2 linked regions of the Schizosaccharomyces pombe genome follow. Changing the gene in region 2 together with the main gene of any one other region gives a genetic interaction. Each region holds a gene or a part of one and is shown on either strand. Other genes may lie near its edges. The genes, in order: ubc6 and akr1.

Evidence for each region.
Region 1: mutations in akr1 (region 2) and ubc6 together harm fitness more than expected from each alone (negative genetic interaction), as found in Schizosaccharomyces pombe (one large-scale study listed by BioGRID).

Annotation. Positions count from the first base shown.
Region 1 is NC_003424.3:1,214,111-1,217,628, forward strand, and holds ubc6 (ubiquitin conjugating enzyme Ubc6), read right to left. Parts: upstream 1,839-3,518; 5' UTR 1,819-1,838; coding exon 1,792-1,818; exon of another isoform or gene 1,752-1,791; coding exon 1,613-1,751; exon of another isoform or gene 1,529-1,612; coding exon 1,011-1,528; 3' UTR 678-1,010; downstream 1-677. Other genes in the region: RCC domain-containing protein Ats1, read left to right, coding at 1-671; RNA-binding protein Vip1, read left to right, coding at 3,061-3,518. UniProt on the Schizosaccharomyces pombe protein: Catalyzes the covalent attachment of ubiquitin to other proteins. Functions in degradation of misfolded or regulated proteins localized in the endoplasmic reticulum (ER) lumen or membrane via the ubiquitin-proteasome system.
Region 2 is NC_003424.3:548,969-552,900, reverse strand, and holds the start of akr1 (palmitoyltransferase Akr1), read right to left. Parts: upstream 2,134-3,932; 5' UTR 1,891-2,133; coding exon 1-1,890. Other genes in the region: gep3 (GTPase-like protein), read left to right, coding at 2,658-3,932. UniProt on the Schizosaccharomyces pombe protein: Palmitoyltransferase specific for casein kinase 1.

The sequences.
Region 1 (3,518 bases), 670 kb from region 2:
ATAGTCAAGGTTTGAGGGAAATTGACATTCCTTACCTTGACGATAAAGAGTTCATTATTGATATCTCGGCTGGATTAAGACACTGGATTTGTGTTACAAATGAAGGGAACTTGTATGGTTGTGGAGATGGCCGCAAAGGACAACTTGGACCGGTAGTTATGAAAACAGTTAACAAGGTTTCATTTCTCGGGCGTATTGAACATGCTCAAGCTGTTGTATGTGGTGTACAGTTCAGTGCAGTATTGCAAGAAACAGGACATGTAATTGTTTTAGGAGGGGAGAAGTGGAATGTAGCAGCAGAATGTGATGCTTGGCAAGCAAATAACAGTGAATTGTCTTCTTCCATCTGCTCTATATCAGCAAACTGGTCTACCTTGAGTCTATTAAGTACTGAAGGCTGTGTCTATGCTTTTGGTCGTTGTGATCGTGCTCAGAAGGCCCATACAAAAGCAAGTGATATCGTCCAAATCGCCAGTGGAACTGAGCACAATATTTTAAGGACAAAGAAAGGAAGTGTTTTAATATACGGTTGGAATGAGCATGGAAATGCCTCGAATGATGATAAAAGAGATGTTTATGATGCAAAAACTCTTCAATTACCAGGCTGGGCCTATATTGTGGCCGCTGGATATGCAACGAGTTGGATAGTGATTGAAGAAAATCACAAATAATGAATTGAGTAACTAAAATTTAATTTTATTTTCTACCGAAATGTCGAAGCTTTAATAACATTTGACGACATTTAAAAAAATGTAGTTTAGTAAGCTAAAAATCAAGCAATTGCTAAGAGACAATTGTCTATAAAAAGAAACTAGAACAAAGATTAACTTCCATTTAGTTTTAATTGAAGCGCGACATGTGATGCAGAGATGAAGGGGCAACAGGCAACGAAAGAAAAAAAATAAACATATAAGGACGGCAAAGCGCTATTTGGCATTAATCTCTTTATCGGAGGATCAAATGCAAAAACGCTTTCATAAGTTAATAAAATAAATACAAAGCATAACATCTTAAGAATCAGCTCCAAAAAAACGAGCTAAAGCAAGGGCAAAAAACACCAAAACTGCTATGCTCCAGCGACTTTTAACCCAGCTTTGCTTTGAATTAAACGGTTCATTCTTCTTGCATTCATTGGAAGATACAGGAGTGGAGTGAATTTGTTGGGGTTCGATTAGGGCCGCTTCAGCAGCTGCTTTGGCAATGTCTTCCCTATTTTTGTCAATTAACTCGGGGAACATTATTAAGAATTTAGGATTATCCATAATGTTAAATCTCTTCGTATCCTTTGCGTAAGTTCTCCTGGTAGACTCCGAAGTTACAATACCTCCAGTGGTAATCTCATCAGAAGTCATGAAAGAAACGAGTCCCACCAGAATAGTAGAAACCATCCATGAGGGATTCCAGGATTTTGGATGGAAGTCAGAAAAAGAAAGACAAAGTCTGGTATTCGTTTGGAAACGTCCGCTTGGAGTAATCATGCGAATTGCAGGTGGCTTAAAAGGATAATCGGGAGGAAAAATCAATGTCCCTGTACGCAAAGTTAGCAAAGGATGGCAACAGCCAAAAGTTCATGCACATATTGATTACAGAAGGAAATTTAAAAGAAACATACCATGATATTGTCCTCCTTCATATGGAGTGTCCGGAGGGCCAGTGATAATATAATGCCATTCCAAAATGTTTTCAGTTGCAGGTTTAGCGTCAACAAGCTCAACAGGGTTTTTCTGAAGAGCTAGATATTCTTTCATTAACTAAAATAATTAGAAGAAGCTTAAAATTATAAATCCATACCCGTTTATAAGCACCTTTCGACGCCATCGTTGTGTTTGTGAAGTTTGTGGAAGTGAGAAAACATGTAACCATATAATCCGCTCACAGTTACATTACCAGGTTAGCGGCTAGTTAGGTGATTCTTGTCTTTTACAAATTCAAAGCACAATCTCTACTAGACTAAGTGTCTTTGTAGGTTAATCAATATAAAACACCAACAAACTCCGAGGTGAGGTGCCAACTTCAAGTACAACGGTTTATTCAAATCACCAATTCGTAAATATAACACAGTTACTTGTAAAAGAGGTTTTCATTTCTATCTTTTGTAGCAATATACCTATGATATTTATGATATTTTATTTTCTCTATACGCAGCTTAAGCCCAAATGTAAAATATAAATATTGTTAACCTATGTACATTGAGGAAGTAAGATCGAGAAAATAGATTAAAAAATGCTTTGAAGCAAGGAAAGCCTTTAACTTATCTTTGTTTTACTTATTGTAGGTCTAACATTTATATTTCTCTTGCCTTCTCAATATACCTGATAATTTTGCTCATTATTCAATAAGAAACAATTTGGATGACTAACATGAGAAAAGGAACAAGCGAGGTAATCTATTCATATATTTCTTTCGCATTCTTTAGAAAGACCGTAAAGGCGATCCAGCAAATTCGGTTTTCTAGAAACATCAGTTTTCACTGTCCGGATATGCCGATATCGGGAAAATTAATGTCGGTCCTAAGTTTATGAATTTATCGAAACATAGTAGAAGCGGAAATTACTTCGTAATAGCAATTTAATGGATATTTTTTCCACAATTTATGCACTTTGCCATGCAACGAACAAAGCCAACTAGTATACCAAGTCAAGAAATCATGAGTACAGCAAAGTATCTAAGTGTTATCCTATTTAGTTTACAGTGACCAATAAAAATTGTATCGTGATATTCAGATAAAAAGATAATTGTCATCTATTTTCAGCTTCATTTTGATTTAGGCTCACTTATCGCGATAATTGCAATCTTTTGAAAACACACGTTCATTAATGTAATATCAGATTTAAAGTATGAAGTAGTGGCATTAACAAAGCAGCACAAAGTCAACTTTCCGTGATATAGGCTAAGGGCAAGTTAGAAATGTCAGGAAATTTTGCATTTTTGTGGTTTTTTCGTTGGGCTCAATCTAATCGTAATTGGGAGGATGTCGTCATCGATGATCACTACTTAAAAGCAGCCTCCATGGCACTCAACGTACTTTGAATCTCCATATTACCAGTTGAAACAAAAGTAATGAGCAACCAAGTTATTGTAACGAACATCTCTCCTGAAGTTACTGAGAAACAAATCTCAGACTTCTTTTCTTTCTGCGGTAAAGTGTCCAACATCTCTACCGAGAAATCTGGAGAAACCCAAACCGCGAAAATCCAATTTGAACGCCCTAGCGCCACCAAGACGGCCTTACTTTTGCAAGATGCTCTCCTTGGACAAAACAAAATCCAAATCACCAGTGAAGATGGTGGTGCTGCTTCTACTACCGATCAAGGAGGTGCTGGAGGCGATCAAGCCGCTCGTCAAGAAGACAAGCCTCGTTCAGCTATAATCTCTGAACTTTTAAGTCGCGGATATCATTTGAGCGATGTAACTTTGGAAAAGAGTATTCAACTAGACCAAAGCTATGGCGTTTCTTCAAAATTCAAGGGGATCCTCGAGTCTGCTTTGTCTGGCGTTCGTTCTGTTAACGAACGTTA
Region 2 (3,932 bases):
AAGAAAGTTTTGCTTCCAAAATGTCTTACAGTTCTTAATTATGCTACCCTCATCATATGGATTGACTGTGGAAAGATTACGAGACAAAGAGGTAGAATTTTGGGAACCTAACTCAGCTCTCGATGGGAAACATCTCACAAAGCAATTTGATTCTCTAATTAACAATATACACTGATCCAATCCCAGGATACCACATACTGTACGTAGAAAGCTTCCATGAATTCCGTGACCATTTTTTGGAGATGAATTTTGCTTTGTAGGAGGAACGAGAGTTCCATATCGTTTAAATAGTCGGAATTCGGCTGTGGTCACGTTGTGAGCAACTTGACAAATCTGGGTAAAAGCTAAAACAACTACCCAACACCAATTCACAAACAAAGTTAGAGAAGCAACTAACACAAACATGTCTTTTAAAGACCACTGGCATATGGTACCAGAAATAAAAAGGCACCTATACGACTCGTATTTTTTTTGAATGGGGATATTCTGTAAATAATAAAATGCAACGTAAAAATAAATAGGAATTAAAGTAGACAATGTGAAGACAAAAAGAAGGAATGTTCTATGGTTCCGTGCCCCTACGCAATTTCCAGTCCAAGGACAATGGTGATCATAACGATTAATACACCTTTTACAAGCTCCACAATGATAAGAACGAGGAGGCTTAACTTGAAAGCATTTTAAACAATAATGAGATTGATTAAAAAGATCCTTGTCCAATAATTTGCTAATTTCTTCACGACGTTGAACGACGGCACCAATTTTGTCTACATATCCAGGATTTTGAAAAGCTGTACGAACATATAATCCAATACAAGTAAATGAAATCAAAACAAATAAAAGAGAAGAGAGAGGTTTTATGGGTAACGTCTTAGGTACTATATATAACAAAGAATGACACCATACCCAGAAGAAAATTGAGGAAAATATGCCAGCCAAGAATGGAGTTTCAAGATAGAAATGTACTATGTCAATATTCGCATGAATGCATGTTGTAATATATTTGAACGTAAAGTAAATCCACAAAGGAGCGATTATCAAGGAGATGACCATTGGGCAAATTGACATAATAAAAAAAAAGACGCCAGTAATTATAAAGGACGATAAAAAGCAAAAAATAATAAATGTTTTTTGCGAAAATTGAAATTTACTAGGAACAACGACCCATTTTTCAGGTTCTTCAGAGGTTTCTTTAACTTTTAATCCATTTGAAATTAATGCCTGTTTAAATAAGTGAGAGACGCGAAGTTCTGACGCTAGAGCCCAAGGGGTTTTCAGCTGTCCACTTAAATTAGCGGTAACTGCAGTACAGGGAATGCCTCCCTCTTTTAAAATCAGTTTCATGCATTTTAGATTTCCACCTACAATGGACCAATGTAAAGGGGTCATTTTATCTTCATCTGTAGCCAATACATCTGCACCCCATCGCAAAAGACAGTTTGTTATAGGCTCATTCCCATGGTATGAAGCCCACATCAGAGGTGTGTGCTGCTGATCATCACGTAAATCGACAGAAATATCGAGATGCAACAAATATACTACTAGTAAAGGACTTGCAGCGTGGACTGCCAAATGCAAACAATTGAAACCTTGTTTATCTTTGAGTAATGGGTCCGCACCATGCTGAACTAAGTAGTGAACAGTCTTCACAGAGCCACGTTTAGCAGCCCAATGTATTGGAGCGGCCTGTAAATCTCCGCCTATTGCATTCACATCGGCGCCATGTTCTAACAAAAATTTACATATTGGAATTTGCTGGTTCAGAGCTGCCCAGTGTAATGCAGTTGCTCCACCTTCATCTGTAGCATTAACATCTATCTTTTCAGAAGATATCAAATTTTTAACTGTGTCAAGTTCTCCCTGACTAGCGGCTAAAAATAATGAACCCATAAAGGTGCAGTTCAATGATTTTGTTGGTCACTAATTGTTACAAAATGTAAATCGGGAGGTTGCAAATTTCAGGCAAATATGAAAGAACAATAGGAATAGATCTGGTGGTCAAACTCCTAATCGTACAAAATTACATACAATCATGAATAAAAACGAAAAGAAGTAATTATAAATATAATAATTTTGCTCGTAGAAAGACACACTGGTTCAATGGTGTCTATAGTACGGTGCAAGCCTTTCGCCAGATTCATTGGTGGTGAATCGAGCAACCTTTATTCTGCTGTCATACTATCACTCCATCAGTAATGGTGTTCAAAAACTGAATTATACTTGGAGCGTTTACTATTTTTATACAAATAAAAAGAAATTTCCTTAAACCAGTGTTTAGTACGTTGATCCCCGGAAATTTTCTATTTCGCTGGCTTAAAATGCTTCAAATCCAATCCACTTCCAGCACAGGATAATTACATTTAAAAATAATACATTGTTTGTTACACAGCAGATGAGAAATTCCCTTATATCAAATCCAACAAAGGAACTTTTTCTTTTCAATATATAGATGTTGAGTTTGGAAATGATTAACAAAAGCAATTAACTTAATATTAGAGCTTATCGAATTCACCTTATTCTGTAAATAATAACAGCTTTTGAAGCTTTTTCTCTATCCTATCAGACCTTAAACATCTTTACTTCAGCGATATTCTAAATTTTTGTTGCCGATTTATTACAACAAAACCAAACGGGTTTAATAAAACTAAATTTCTACCATGAGTTTTACCAAGTTTTGCCGGGGATGTGGACAAACATTACAGTCCGCGAACGAGTCTGCTACCGGATATATAAAGCCACTAAAATTAAGTGGCATTTTTAGCAAAGGTTCAGTTTCTAATTTATTAAAGAAAAATCTCGATGAGCAAGCAATCTTTAATAATGCTTTTAAAAATCTCAACCCACAAATAAAAAAGCATTTCCCAAATACAACGAGTTTTCCTTTTCATGAAAAGGAGATTGGAAGAACTGATTTATTATGGTGCCAAAGATGTCATGATTTAAAATTTCATTCTCGCATACGTCCAAAGGAGTTGTTACAAGAACCCCAGACTACTCTACCAGATATCATTAGTACGGTGAATAATGATAAAAGTACTTGTTTGATAATACAGGTTATAGATGTTACTGAAGTTATATTTCAAGATTTTGTTTCAGCTACTCAATACACTCATTTCCCAGTTTTCCATTTATTTACGCATGCGGATGTATTACCTCCAAAAAAGCCATACTGGTTGTTTCCTGGGTTAGGAATTTCTTCAAAGTATGCTATGCTTTACACATCGCATTCTTTCAACCTAGTTGATAAGCTCTTGGGAAGGATAAATCCCTTGCTATGTTCGCGAGGTCATGTATATGTCGTAGGCGAAGCAAATTCTGGAAAATCTACATTGCTAAAAACTTTGGCTAAACGGGGAAATGGTGTTTTTAATGAGCTTTTGCTTGACAGTTTTTTACCAGGAACCACTCAAGCAATAAAAGGGTATCCTACACAATATTTCGGTTCCTGTTTTAAGCAATTATCTGAAGGCTTAATTTTTGATACTCCTGGATACCGTGGTAACTTGAAATCTTTATTACCCTGGGTTGATACTAAGCTATTGACAAGTCTCGTACCTAAAACAAGGTCTAGAAATAAGCAACTCACAAGTAAGCCTGTTCAGTATCGTGTTCGTTTCGGTCAGTCTATTATTTTAGGTGGACTAGTTCGTGTTACGCCTTTTGAAATAAATGAAGATGGAAATCATGAAGTTGGAAAGCCAATTATGTTTAAAAAGGAAGATCCTTCGAGCACCACGATACACTTTTTGTTCTCGACTTTAAAAAATAAGAAAACAAAAGGCAATACCAATAATATGAAACCTCTTTTGATTAAGTTATTTACAAAACTTCCCGCTCATATTACCTCTATAACAAAATTACAATCACTTGAAAATTCTACGAAAAATGATAATGTTCCTTTAGTAACTCACTCTCCGTCGCCGATGCATTCT